Linked DNA regions of Elephas maximus indicus. The protein of the gene in region 1 binds, or shares a complex with, the protein of each later gene. Links are inferred from orthologs where the notes say so. Each region holds a gene or a part of one and is shown on either strand. Other genes may lie near its edges.

Region 1 (7,382 bases):
GTTATGGATTTGGGAGCCAGCATATGGATGTCAGTTAAAGCCATGAGAGTGTATTTAGAGTTTGAAGAAGAGAGGTCCTCAGATGGAGCTCTGGAGAGCGGTCAAGGTCAGGCCCAAAACATACTCTCAAGAAGATAGCTGTAAGGGGTTCATCTCTACAACTGTTGGGTTTTGGCACAGAATTGCCTCAGATGTGCGTAAGGTAAATAGAGGCCCTTTAGGTGAAACGTGCATGGATACTTTTGGCTCCTGGTGACACAGCAAAAAAGGAGGGGGAGGAGGACCAACAACCTCCCAGTCAGCTCCAACCCAGCAGGTGCGGGAGAAAGACCCTGTGACAGGGACTCAGTCTGGCAGGCAAAATTAACCAGAAGCCAAGTGTCTGTAAGGGTCAGCAAGTCCCCAACGGGTGTGGAACATGGGGAGCCACCCCTGGCTGGTGTTTTTCTTGGATCACTGTATGGTGATTAAAAGCACAGACGCTGGAGCTCAACTATCTGGGTTCAAATCCTGACTCTGTCATTTACTTGCTGTGTAACTCTGGGCAAGTTACTTAACCTCTATGTGCCTCAGTTTCCTCCTCTGTAAAATGAGGATAATAATATAGTAGAACCCTCAAAAGCTGGAGCCTGTGTAAAGTGGAAACCTGTCAGTGAAGGAAAACTCAAATATTTTCCACTAAAAGGTGTGATGGAAAAAGTGGTAAGACTGTACCCTGTCAAAGGCAGAAAACGCATGAGACCTGGAAGAACAAGGCAGTCCTGTCATGTTCCGGCTCTCACAGGTTTCAGTGAAATACCTATCTCATAGACTTGTTACGAGGATAACATTTATAAAGTGTTTATACTGGTTCGTGGCACGCAGCAAACACAATATGGTTATTAAATTAAGAATTACAAATTTCATTCATTAATGAATATTTATTGAATAGTTACTACATGCCAAGCAGTGTTGTAGGTGGTGGGACACAGCAGTGAATAAGGCAGGCAAAAATCCCTGTCCTCGTGGAGCTTACATTCCAGCAGGGTACTGAAGACAGACAATCCACAAAATAAATTCGCAAAATATATGGCGTGTCAGACCCAAGCAGAGACATGAAAGATGCACAGGAGTTGGCAAGACTGCTCGCCTAGGGTCTGGGGCACAGTGGGACTCAGGAGATGGAAAGAGGAAGGAAGACACTGAGCAAGTGGCCGAGTGGATTCCCTGGTGGTTGCTGAACCTTTGAAGTAACAATCATCCTTATCCCCATCATATAATATCAGCAAACACTGGGATCATAGTGTAGTGGTTGAAAGCACAGACTCCAGAGCTCAACTATCTGGGTTCAAATCCTGACTCTGTCATTTACTTGCTGTGTAACCTAGGGCAAGTTACTTGGGAAGGCCCTCAATGAGATGGATTGACACAGTGGCTGCACAAAAATGGGCTCAGCCATAGCAACGACTGTGAAGATGGTGCAGGACCGGGCAGTGTTTTATTCTGTTGTACATATGGGTGCTATGAGTTGGAATCAACTCAATGGCACCTAACAACAACACAACATAATATCAGCAAACACTTAAATAGCACTTATTTCTTACCAGGCACTATTCTATTCGCGTTATGTTATGTATCTCATCTCATTTAATCCTTATAACAACCCAATGAGGTTTGTCCTATTATTAATCCCATTTTTCAAATGAGGGAACTGAGGCATAAACAGGTTAACTTGCCTAACAAAGTCATAGAGTTAGGAGGTGGTAGAACTGGGATTCAAACCCAAGTCATCTGGCTCTAGCGTTCATAGGACTGAACCTGCAGGTGGTGGGACAAGACAGGCTGCCACGCCCCAGGACCAGCCAGGGCCTGCCCTTCACACAGACTGGACTGGAAGGAATATACATACACCCTTGATACGTGTATACCCAAGACTCAATATACTTAACACACATCCAGCTTCGAGGCTGTTCAGAGGGCCTGGGAGGAGTAACTAAGGGCCATGAAATAGAGATCAGGGCTCAGCTCTGGAGAACTCTATCCTCAGACCCAAGCCCCCCAGAATACCCCTGGTCTCCCGCCCCCTCCACATGTGGCCTTAAGTCACCATCCCAAAGCCTGGTGATCCTACCCACAGACCGCAAATAACGTAATGAAAATCATAATCCTGGGAAGTTTAACAGAGGCACCAACAACTCCAGGTTGCTTCTGGGGCCTGAGAAGGCAAGTCATCAAGAGACGGAGAAACTAAGAGAGGCAGATGGGACTGCTGGGCCCCACATAACTGGAACCCATAGTAGTGGAAGCCTGCAGAGGGGCAAGCCATCAACAGTTTACAAAACCCTGTCACATCCTTCCTGGCCTCACTTGATACTGTCCAATTCTTACCTTAGGCAAGGCGGAAATTAGTAGACCAAGCTGTCAAACGGGAAACTGAGTCCCAGAGAGGAACAATGAATTATTCAAGATCACAGGCAGGACTAGGAATCAGGGATCCAAGAGCCCTTCCCCTATACCAATCAGACAGAGAGTATGAGAAAGGCAGAGGGGGGATGGGGACAGGAGGCAGGAGGCAAGTGGCAGTTAACTGAAGAGGCAAAGGCTGACCCGGAAGCCACAAGAGGAGGGAAATTCTTCTTTGTGACCTTCAGGGTATTCACGTAGCAGGGCTTGGGCTCCTGAAAAGGCCCTCTTGTGGGTTGATCAGAGCAGCAGCATCCTTGCTTTCTCATTCCCAACCCCAGGTGAGTTGGGCTCTAAAGGAAAGAGAGTGATTGAAGCCCTTCACAGAGAATCAATCGGATAGTACTTCACAGTGTTCAAGCTCATAACCATCGAAATTTAGCGCAGGGAATACCCACCAGCTCTAGTGCCAACCCATTGTACAGACGGAAGATCAAGGCCCAGAGACAAGAAATGACTTTCCAGACGTCTGTAGTAACTCGGTGATAGGAATCTAGATCTTCTGACCAGGGTATATGAGAGAGGGGCCATTCCTTCTGTTGCTTGAACCTCATATAAGCTCCCTGGGGAGAGCTCTGGGATCCAGGAAACCTGAAATCCACTCCTGGCTATCCTCAGAGCCACTGAGTAGCATTAGGCACTCCTCCAATAGAATGTAAGTTCCACCAGTGCAGGGATTTTTGTCTGTTAGTGCTTGATGTATCCCCAGCCCCTGGAGCAGTGTCTGGAACATAGTATATGCCCAGTAAATATTTGTTAAATGAATGAATGTCTACAAGGCCAGGGTTGGTAAAGTGTCATGACAGAGAGCCTGAAGCCTAAAGGAGAAAAGACCAAGAACAACGAGCTAAATCTTCAGATACGTAGAAGGCTAAAATTCTGTCAACAAATATTTATTGAGGGCCCATTCTGTTCTGGGTACTGAACCAGACTATGGGGATTCAGTTAAGGACAAGCCAGTCATGCCCCCTCCCTCCCCCCGGCCTCAAGAACTCACAGTCCACTGTAATGTTGAATGTGGGCATTTTCCTGTGGACTCCAGAGTAGAACCAGGTGGAAGGCGGGGGTGGGGGTGTAAGTGGCAGGGAAGGGAACGGTTCGATATAACGCAGACACTTTCCTCAGCCTGAGCTGCCCCGAAATGGCCTTGCTGCTTGGAAGGTGATGAGTGCAGCGGGACTGCAGTGTTCAAGCAGGGCGGCTGACCGCCCACCTGTCAGAGGCTGTGCCAGGAGTATGCGGGAGAGAAGATTCTGCTTTGGGTGAGGTCACTTTCCACCCCCAGATTCTCTGCCTACAAAGCCCTGCAATTCTCTAACGCTAAAAACTCAGATCTTATTATTCTCTGACTTTCAAGGTCCCATGATACTGACAGCTCCAAACTCTAAGTCAGCCTCTGCCCACGCCCCTGAACCCAAAAGAAATAAGAGAAATTCAGCAAGGGTCCTACCACCCACTGCCTCAAAAGGCCTCTCTGGTGGTACTCAGCGTCGCCCCCCAACTCTTGGGGGCTGTAGGGGTGTAGCTCGGTCGCGGGAGAGCCGGGGACATCGTGGGGAGGAGGGTGTCCCAGAAAAGGAGTTCATAGAGCCGGTACACGTGACACTGAAAACATCAAGTTCTGCGGTCCGCGGGGCTGAGATGGGGCCGGTCACATGACGCAGGGGGCCACCATGGGGTGATGTGAGACGAGGGGCCTCTCATATGACGTCCAAATGACGCATTCCCACCCCTTTTGGCAACTAGATTTCCGTTGGAAGATGAGACTGTTCCCGTAAAGGGACCGGGTTCTCACATCCTTGAAGTTTTGCTTCCGTTCGGGGCGCCACAGCTTCCGACTTCCTCCTCTCCCTGGGGCAAGGGAGAGACGCGTCCTTGTGCGCATGCCCCGAATCTTCCCAGCGGGGGCGGGGCTGAGGCTACGGGAGCTGGTAGGGGGGGAAGAAGAGGGAATACCAACCTGTGGAATCGGGGGGGTATCCGAGGCTGGCTCCTTCCCATTGGCTGTGGACCGTGCAAGGGACAGAGCCTCTGGCGGCTCGTGGAGGTGTTGGGGTCCGCAGGGTGAGGGAGGGGAGCGTCAGAGTGTGAGTGGGGAAGGGAGTTCCAAACTTAGATCCTTGAGGCCCTCGGGGCTCAGGCGCGGGGGAGAGGGAGCTCGGGCCGTCATGCGGGACAGGACCCACGAGCTGAGGCAGGTGAGGAGTCGGTGCAGCAGGGTTGGGAGCGGACAAACGGGGTGGATTTGGCTGGAATGCGGGACTTCTGGTCCTCGGGGCAGGGAAGGGTGGCTGATGGCAGGGAAGGAAAGACCCGGAAGCCCGTCGGTTCCGTGGGGCGAGAGCAGTAGCAAGAAAGTAGTGCCAATGACCCCGGCTCTGGCAGGGAGATGACAGCTCGGACGATGAAGACAAGGAGCGGGTCGCGCTTATGATGCACCCGGGCACGGCCTGGCTGGGGGACCCGGACGATGAGTTCTTCCAGCAGGTAAGGGGCTGCGGTCTTGGCCTAGATTTGCGAGGGGACGGGGCTGGAGAAAATGAAGAGCAGTGCGGCCTGGAGTACCCCGTGTCTCCTTTAGCTTTCGCTGTCACCCTCCCCAGGTCAGGACAATTCGGCAAACTATTGTCGAGCTGGAGAATAAAGTCCGGGAGTTGGAGAAGCAGCAGGTTACCATCCTGGCCACGCCCCTTCCCGAGGACAGTGAGTGAAACCCCGGGTGCAGAGCGCATGCTCAGTCCTAGGGGTTGTGGGGGTTGTAGTTCCATGCAGGTGGTGGCCGGGGTGGTTGGTTGAGGTAGGAACTGTTGTTTTGGGAGTTATGGTCATCTCTTGTTCAGGCATGAAGCAGGACCTGCAGAACCTGCGCGAGGAGATCAAACAGCTGGGGAGGGAAATCCGCACACAGCTGAAGGGTGAGCTCCTAGAACTTCAGATATATCCTTTCTTCTGATCCTACCTACCTGCTGGTACATCTGGGGAGTGTGGAATGTGTGGCCCAGAGAGGCTGGTGGTATATCCAGGTCACACAGTAGGCCTCTAAAACCTTGGTCTTCCAGTGTCCAGTCCAGCACACTTTCCACAGCAAACGCCTGATTTTTTCCTGTACTTTTATTTACAATGAAACCATTGACTCCTACAATTCCTCCTGCCCAGTGTGCATTCTTTGTGCAAGCAGATGGGGGTTTTATTAGGAGACCTCTGCATACCTGTGGGAATTGACTGATGCATTGTAAACCAAAAATACACTTTCTACTCTTAGAGGCTTAGAATTAATCATTTTACGCTAAATTGTATTTCCCTTAAAAAGTCTGTGGATGCAAACACCTTCCTGTTGTGTGGCTGGGGGTTGGCCCTCGCTCTGTGTCCTCATCCTCAGTCTTCAGAAGCCACAGGTCAACCCCTGCCCTTACCCTGGTGTCTTCCCACAGCAATAGAGCCCCAGAAGGAGGAAGCTGATGATAATTATAACTCAGTCAACATGAGGATGAGAAAAACCCAGGTAGGTTTCTTGTTCTGAGAACTAGGACATTCCAGCAAGTGTTTCATAGATCATTAGATGGCAGAAGTGAAAACAAAGGGCCCTTAGAGATCAAGTCCAACCTGATAATTTTCCAAATGAGGAAACTGAGGCTCAGAGAGAGAAAGGGTTCACCCAAGGTCAAGAACCCAGGTCTTCTGATTCCCAATCCATTTTAACAGTTGCTGAGTCCCCAGATATGTCCTAGGCTCAGCTGTGGGAGATATACTTTCCTGAGGTGGGGAGTTACAGGTTGAGTAGGACTTGATGACTAATGGTGCTCTGCCCAAGGAAGGAGAGGGAGAAGTCAAATGACTAGGGGTTTCCAGCCCACATGACAAGGACAAACTTGAATTTGGGAAGTCAGGAAGAGGAACTGCCCTGAGGGAAAGGTCACTGAATCAACATCTTAGTTAGGAGCTTCGAGGTGATCTGATGGGCCCCTTCTGGGTGTCCAGTGAGGACTGGTTGGGGTTGTTGGAGGTCATGGTTACAGTAGGTGAGCCCAGAGCTCAGCAAAGACCTCAGATCAAAGAAGGAGAGGTTTGGGCATCTTGAGAGCAGATGTGCCTCTGAAGAAGGAATGCAAGGAATGAACGCATTTCAGACATTGGGGGAAGACAAGGCAGGACAAAGAAGCCTCACAGAAGTCCAGAGAGGGTATTTCAGCAGGAGCCATGGTGGATATTTTTGTGAGAGGCAGAGGGCCTAGACAGACCTGTAAATCTGTACGTCAGGCTGACTGCCAGGAGTCCTGGCACACCTGTAGGCTCTAAGGAGAGAGGCCAGCAGTCAGCAAACATTCAACAACTATTTATTGAGTGCCTACTGACTTTTCTTGTTGTTTGGGTTGCAAAACAGTGAACCAAACAAAGATCCCCACTCTCATAGAGCTTACATTCTGGTGGGAACAGACAATCACCACAGTAAACATTAAATTATTTTAGAACATTGTAAGTATTAAAGAAAAAAAACAAAATAGAGCAGGAGAAGGATTGAAAGTGCTGGGAGAAGGTAGGGTTGCAATTTAAAGGTGGAGAAGGCCTCATTCAGAAGACGACATTTGAACAAATACTTAAAAGTCTTTGTGGGGAATCAGCATTCTAGGCAAGGAACAGGCCTAAGGTGCAAGTGTGCTTTGCTCAGGGAGGAATAAGGATGCCACTGTGGCTGCAGGGAGCGAGTGAGGGGACAGCAGTGGTAGGTGGTGAGGTCATTGAGGCAGTGGGGGAGGGGCAGATCATGTAGGGCCTTGTAGGTCCTGGTAAGAGCTCTAGCTTTTCCTCTTAGAGAAATGGGAGAACCTTTTCAAGCCGTCATAAGGTAGTTAAGGCACAGACACCTCACGATAGCTCATGCTGTTTGCTCACTGTACCCTCGGGGATGCTGAGGCCCAAACCAGGCAGGGATCCTCCCCAAG
Region 2 (7,441 bases), on another chromosome or scaffold:
GCTACTACTGAAGATCCTGGACAGCTCTGAAGCATCCACTGATGCAGAGGTTAGTCTCAGGACTGAGCCCCCTTCACTGTCATCAAACATCTTGGTTCTGTAGCCACTCACCTGTATTCTGTGCCGTAACTGCTGAAACTTCTCTTTCACTTTAGCGTTCAGTTCAGTAAGTGCACTTAATGGTCCTGAACAATCGCGAATATCCTAGGACACATTGAAGAGAAGAAGGAGAAATTAAACCATCTGTACCGAGAGACAGTTCTCCTAGACCACAGCTAAGGTTGGCCTACTAACTGTCATTCATCCCAATATCTCGTTGACCTCTGCCACACAACCAAAACCATTATTATTTACATTTTTCTCATCCCGCTTCAGAATAATGTTGAACAGATAACATAAAAGCAAACCAAGAAATGCAACTCTGGCTTGACCTAGTTATTAGTCCCTAAATTTTTTTTTCTTTAAATTTTAATAAAGTAGCCCTGGTGGTACAGTGGTTAAAGTGCTCAGTTGCTAACCTAAAAGCTGGTCGTTCAAGCCCACCGGCCACTCCATAGGAGAAAGATGTGGCAGTCCGTTTCCATAAAGATTACAGCCTTGGAAAACTTATGGTGCAGTTCTACTCTGTCCTGTAGGGTTGCTATGAGTCAGAACCGACTCTGCGGCAATAAGCGTTTTTTTTTTTTTTTAAAGTTTAACAGGAGTCCCTGAGTGGTGCAAACTTCTGAAAAATCGGCCATTGAAAACCCAATGGAGCGCAGTTCTACTCTGACAAACATGGGGTTGCCATGAGTCAGAATCGACCAGAAAGCACCTGGTTGGTTAAAGTGTAACAAAACATCACCTGACCAGTATGAAGGGTTTATTATAACTTTAGATCTTTCCAACTTGAAAATCATGATGCTTATATTTCTGTCATCATACAAGATTAATGGTTTCAAACCATCTATTATAAATCACAATGTCTACAGACATATTTAGGGATTTAGAATTTGTTTCTGGACATTCAGAATTACTGGGGCTAGGTTTTAGAGTGGCTCTAGAACCAGACTATGTGTATCCAAATTCTGGCTGTAGCAATTTATTAGTTGTGTAAGTTTGAGAAAGTTACCTAAATTCTCTCTGTCTCAGTTTCCTTATTACTTATCTCAAAGACTATGTATGTTTAGAAAGCTTTGAGCAGAGCAGCTGGAACACAGTAAGTGGGCAGTGAATGTAGCTATTATGAATCTCTCTCATTAGCAATTACAAGAACCCAAATGTTAGAGAAAGGGGCCTAAACAATTTAGATTGTGTGAAAAGGTCATTTCATTTGTATGAGCTCTCAATTAATTTTTCTAGAGTTGTCTCAGAAGTTTTGTGGCTTAATACACATGAGATGTGATGTTCAAGTGTTTGCATCAAGTTTCTTCACTTGTTCTCTGGCTTACTCCTTAAATCACACACCCTTGCACCATATGATAAACTGCTAATTTGGTTTATTCTGCATATGTTCTACCCAAGAAGTCCTACTTTCCAAACTTTGCTTTTTGCCATAACTTGTTGCAAATTCTGAGTCTACGTCTAACATTTAATGACAGTTTGTTGGAAGCAAAAATGACTCGCTTAAAGCTAAGATTATATGAGACCAGAAGAACCGGATGGTGCCCAGCTACCATTACTGGACATTTTGATCAAAGATTCTATAGAAAAATCCTGGTCAAAAGGGGGGTAATGTGAAACAGATTTTCAAATTCTCATGGAATCTATAGACTTTCTGGAGCCATGGAGGCTGGATGAACCACTGAATCTACTGCCCTTAATCTTTAAACCTTAAAGCAAAAATATCTTCTAAAGTCTTCTTTAAACCAAACAACAGTTTAGCTTAATTTAGTAAAGAATGTCTGCCTTGAACATTGTGCTCTTTTTAAGATCTATCTCTACAGGATCAAATTGAGAACAGCAATTTGAAAGCTTAGATAGGAAACTTAAGGGGCAGTGAGTTTGTCAATGGGGGAGGAACAATTTAGAAAAAGAGGATGAGAATGGTTGCACAACTCAAAAGAATAATCAATGTCACTGAACTGTATATGTAGAAATTGTTGAATTGGTATATGTTCTGCTGCATATACTCTGAAGAACAAAAACAAATTTAAAAAAATTTAAAAACTAAGGTTTAAAACTCTGGATTTCCTTTTGGTAAACTTAGGGAACTACATTCCTAACTCTTGCTGTTGTCAACTGATTTATTGCACTACTGCCTCTCACCTTAAATGGTAGTTTAAGGGCCCTGATGATGGGTTAAAGCAAAACACTTCAATTCCCCCATACACTAAACAGAGGGACTCCCTAAAGTCCTTTCCCCGAGCAGACTTCTCTTGTCCCGGTCCTAGTTTTGCACCGTCTTTGGATTCAGGCATTCGCGCTTTACTCAATTTCCTCATTTGCGGTCCACGTTACATTCATTTCACCCGGTGCCTACATGCCAGGTGGTGCCACGGGGCACCCGGCAGGGCGCGGAGCTAATGGCCCCCCCGCGAGGCTATCGCGGGAAAGCGGGGGGGGGTGTCAAAGGCGGGGGCAAGCAGCCACTAAGAGGGGAATAACGGGGTGACAGGTATGTTGTGAGGTAGTCGGAGGCGGGGCAAGGCCAGGGAGGGGAGGCCACAAAGGGGAGGCTGGGCAGAGGCGGGCGACATGGGAGTGGTCCGAAAGGGAGCAAGCCAACGGCACCCGGATGGAGGATCAAGGCCAACAGTTACCAGGACTTGACCAAATGGGTACGACATAGGGGTACTCGGCCACCCGGCGGGGCCAAGAGTCTCGAAGAACTGACCAAGTGGGGACAGTTCGGGAGAGAGACCGCCGAGCGCCCAGGAGGCCGACGGAGCTTGGATTAGGGCGGCTGGAACCCGGCAGGGTTCTGGGAATTAGTACCTGGATAAGCGCCTTCACCTCCAGATCGAATTTGACAATCTCTTGGTTACAGATCCGGACGTGGACATCTTGGGGTGCCGCCATGTTGGGACGCCTACTACGGACAGCGGCGGTGCCCAAAGTTCAGATGCGTTTTCGCACCTCCTTCTTTCCCTCCCCTCCTCGTCTTGCAGCAGCGCCACCTTAAGACCGGTTTGAGTGTGGCAGGAGCGAGAGGTCGGCACCGAAACTTCTAACGCGGGCTCTTGATAGTCATTTGCAAAGGTTTCCTAATAACTAGGCATTCTGGCGGCTAAGTGGATGAGAGCTCAGTCTGTTAACCAAAAGGTGGGCAACTCGAATCCACCAGCCGCTCCTTGAAAACCCTATGGGGCAGTTCCACCCTGTCCACAGGGTCGCAGTGAGTCGGAATCAGCTCTACGGCACACAACAACCCCGACACATGGGGAAAATCAGCCTCGCCCCTTGGTTTTACTGTTATAAAACCAGGCCGAAGAGAATATCAAAAACGGCTGACAGTGGCCTTTCCCCGTCTTCCGCCAATCACTCTAATGACTTTTTAAATAGAAGGGAAAAAAAAGACTGGAAGAAAAATGGTAATTGGGATGTCTCTTAGCGGGTTCTGGGAAGTGGAATTAACAAGTTTTTAAATATTCCTTTAAACTTTTTCACACTTTCTAGAGTGAGTATAAATTGTGGGGTAAAAGAGAAAATGGTAAACATATATATATATATATATATATTTTTAACGTATGGAATTCAAGGCAAGTGGCTTGAGCACCTCCTGTCACCTCATCTCACTGTCCGGATATTTCTAGAACCCAGAATTGATTAAGTCACCTCCCTGCTTACACCCCTTCCATAGCTTCTGGTGGTTCTCCTTTGTGTACAATTGAATTTATTAATTCTACCTCACTGCAGTAGTTTTGATGTATTAAGTAAAATAATGTAAAAGCAGGCCCCCAACAAATTGTGGCTCTTTTATTTTTATTGTTGAACAGCTCGTTTCTTAGCTGGTCCTCAAGGTCGTGGGGCACCTTCCTGGATTCCTAAAGCTATGTCTGAATCTGTAGTCTTGTGATGTGTTGTTCCCTCTTCCTAGTGTTTCCTTCCCCATCCTCTCCTCCCCACATCCCACCCACTTTTCCCCAGCTCACTTCAATAAGCATCAGTTGTGAGGACCTGAGTGCCTGTTTCTCTTAATCCTTACAACCACCCTTGAAATAGGTAATGCCCTAGTGTTACGGATTGAATTGTGTCCCCAAAAAAGTTACTTTCTAGTTCTAACCTGTGAATGTGACCTTCTTTGTAAATAAGGTCTTTGCAGATGTTATGGATTACCATGAGGTCTTATTAAAGTAGGGTGGATCCTAATGGTGTGTTAATAAAAGAGGAGACACAGAGACAGAGGGAAGAGGGCCATGTGACCACAGCTGTGCTGCAGTTGCAAGCCAAGAAACAAGTCAATTCCAACTCAGAGGACAGAGTAGAACTGCCCCATAGGGTTTCCAAGGAGCGGCTGGTGGATTCAAACTGCCAATCTTTTGGTTCACAGCTTAACGCTGAACCACTGCACCACCAAGGCTCCAAAGCCAGGAGAGACAAGAAAGAATCTTCCCCTAGAGCCTTCAGACAGATCTTGGCCCTGCTGACACCCTGAATTCGGACTTTTCGTCTTCAGAACTGTGAGACAATAACTTTCTGTTCTTACAAGCCACCTGATTTGTGGTATTTTGTTATGGCAGCCCAAGGAAACGAATAGACCCTGTTTTACAGATCAGGGGACGGACTAAGTGGATTTTAAAAACCCGCCCCAAGGTTACCCAGCTTGAAAGTAGCAGAGCCATAGCTGAAATTCACATCTTCTCTCAAAACTCAAACGTGGCCCTTAGGTAGTGTTGTACAAGCAGAGCTATGGGACTTGCTTGCCCCTCTGTGTTCCTATAGCACTGGCACACCCCTCCCTTAAGGAGTTGTCATCCCACTTCATCTAACAGAGAGGCAGGGTTACGCAAGCTTGGGCATCCACCCTGGCTCAAATCCTGCTCTACTTGAATCTTGTTCTACAGCTCACTTGAGGGCTCTGTGCCTCATTCTCATCAGAGCCTAACACCTACTTCACAGGGTTAGTTTGGGGATTAAATGAGATAATACATGAAAAGCACCAGGCTCAATACCTGGCACATGGTAAGAGCTCAATGTGCATTAGCTGCTGTTAATACTGACATTTTTGAGCACTCCTTATGTCGCAGGCACTGTGTCCTAAGTGCTATGTATTCATCTCATTTAACCCTCCAAACAACTCTGTAAGGTACAACTATCTGCATTTTAAGATGAGGAAACAGGCACAGAGAAGAATAATGAATTGCCTAAGGCCACAGAACGAATGGAACTGCTAGGTCAAATGATATATGCATTTAAAAATTCTGGTACATTGCTCTCCACAGGAGTTATATCAGTTTACACTCCCACCAGCAACGTGGTACAAATGCCTGTTTTCCCATCCATGGTCTCACCAACATGCTGTGTTAACAGCTGGATTTTTGCCAATCTGCTTAGATGAAAATGCTATTCTTTAATTTGCATTCCTCTTATCATGAATGAGATTGAGGATCTTGTGTTGAAGAGCTATTTGTATTTGCATTTTAGTCTGCTCATTTTTCCTATCAATTTCTAGGAGCTCTTTATATATTAGGATTAGCACCTAGAGATGAGTTGCAAGTTTTTTTTCTGACTATAGAATTCTGACTTGGCTTATGGTCGCTATGAGACAGAATCGACGGCAATGGGTTTGGTTTGGTTTTTTTTTTTTTTTCTGGTTATGGTGTTCTATGGCTGTATTTTTTTTTTTTTTTCTCAGTTTTCATTCATGGCTCCTCAATTTGAGGTCCAAGTTAGAATGGCCTTCCCCACCCACAGGAGTTTAAAGGAACCCTTCCACATTTCTTTATAGTGTTTTTATGGTGTTTTTCTTTTTTACATTTACATCTTTATCCATTTTGAAATACATGCTGGCTTATGGTGTGAGGTATAGAACCAGCTTTACTTTTTTCAGATGGTTCCCTGGTTGTTCCAACACTATTTACTGAAGAATCCATCCTTTCCTTACTGGTTATGAATGACACATTTGCCATACTAAATTCACATACATATTTGGGTCTATTTCTAGACTTTCTATTCTGTTCTATTGGCCTATCTACTCATTCGTGCACTAAAATTATACTGGTTTCATAATTACAGTTTTATATTTTAATGTTTGTTAGGACTGAACACCCTTTTTTTTTTTCCCTCTAGCATCCTCTAACTTTTATTCCCCCCCCCCACCCGCATATGAATTTTAGTTTTGTCTTGCTTTTGAAACCCTACTGGTATGTTTTATTGGGATGGCATTAAAGTTTTATTTAACTGAGGAGGACTGATGGTTTTACGTTGATTGCTCCTGTTGAAGAGCTTGGCGTTATCTATTTGTTCACGTCTTCTTCTGTGTCCTTCAGGGTATTTTAAAGTTTCCTTTATCTAGACCTTGTATGTTTTCTGTTTACTCTTGATGATGTTTTAAGATTAAAACCTTTTGAAGAAACAGGTTGATGTTCTTCAGGCCACTTGAGCATTTTGGATCCTCAAATGTTAGCACCCTATGTAGGACTGCAGCAAAGCCCAATGCCTGCAGCTGTGATCTGCACACATAACCTTGGGCCCTTTTTACATCATGCATTTTGCTAGAAATTCCTATACAAGCAAGTCCCCAAGCTGCATGTCTATGCCGCAGCTAGAGAAAACACAGCTCCCTTTTTCTTTTTTTTTTTTTTTATACCATACTCTCTTCTAATAAAGACAGCCAATCCTAAACCATTCTGCTAGAAGCCACCTGTTAGGGACACGTGTGCAATCTGGTGACCCAGTGAGTGTCAGTCACTCACAATGCTCTTTTCCTTCACCAGTCACCTTTATCCATTGATTCTGAGACCAGCTTTTGATTGATCTGTTTGCTAGATTCTGGTTTTAGTTCTTTCTGGTTTTCAGATTATAAGCCCATTATTTCCCTTCTACACAAACATCTTTCAAAATCTTGCCTGTGTCTTGGCCTGGCACCTTAGAAATGAGTACAAATTATCTGTGTAGTGCAGCAAACAGAATGGAGTTTGAACTGGGGCTCTATATTAGCTGGGTCCGTGGCATGTCACCTGTAAAATGGCCATGACCACCAGCCTCACTTAGCTGTTGAGTAGCACCTGAGGTCCTTGATGGGAAAACCCCTAGCAGAAGCTTAATGAATGCTGCACCCCCAGGACTTTCTAACACCTTGGTATTCTGAACCTGCTAGCCAGGACATTAATGCATTTCCCAACTAATGTTTTTCCTTCTTTCAAATCCTCTTGTGTGGCTAAAGAGCTCACCTGGTTCCAAAATCACTGTCAGTGAAGAAGGGCAATTGAGTGACCCATCGAACTGGGTGCCACACATAGGTTTAGTTTCCCAAGGACAATACTCACCCTGTTCACCCAGCACCTTGAACTTCCCGTTA

What was found. The genes of interacting proteins can lie anywhere in the genome.
Region 2: STX4 (region 1) and BNIP1 share a complex: the UniProt entries of both Homo sapiens proteins name them as parts of the SNARE complex. The link is inferred for Elephas maximus indicus from reciprocal best matches to the Homo sapiens genes STX4 and BNIP1.

The regions. Positions count from the first base shown.
Region 1 is NC_064830.1:90,283,949-90,291,330, forward strand, and holds the start of STX4 (syntaxin-4), read left to right. Parts: upstream 1-4,370; 5' UTR 4,371-4,610; coding exon 4,611-4,640; intron 4,641-4,827; coding exon 4,828-4,929; intron 4,930-5,045; coding exon 5,046-5,145; intron 5,146-5,282; coding exon 5,283-5,357; intron 5,358-5,873; coding exon 5,874-5,944; intron 5,945-7,382. UniProt on the Homo sapiens protein: Plasma membrane t-SNARE that mediates docking of transport vesicles. Necessary for the translocation of SLC2A4 from intracellular vesicles to the plasma membrane.
Region 2 is NC_064820.1:192,250,292-192,257,732, reverse strand, and holds the start of BNIP1 (vesicle transport protein SEC20), read right to left. Parts: upstream 3,036-7,441; 5' UTR 3,001-3,035; coding exon 2,917-3,000; intron 205-2,916; coding exon 112-204; intron 1-111. UniProt on the Homo sapiens protein: As part of a SNARE complex may be involved in endoplasmic reticulum membranes fusion and be required for the maintenance of endoplasmic reticulum organization. Also plays a role in apoptosis.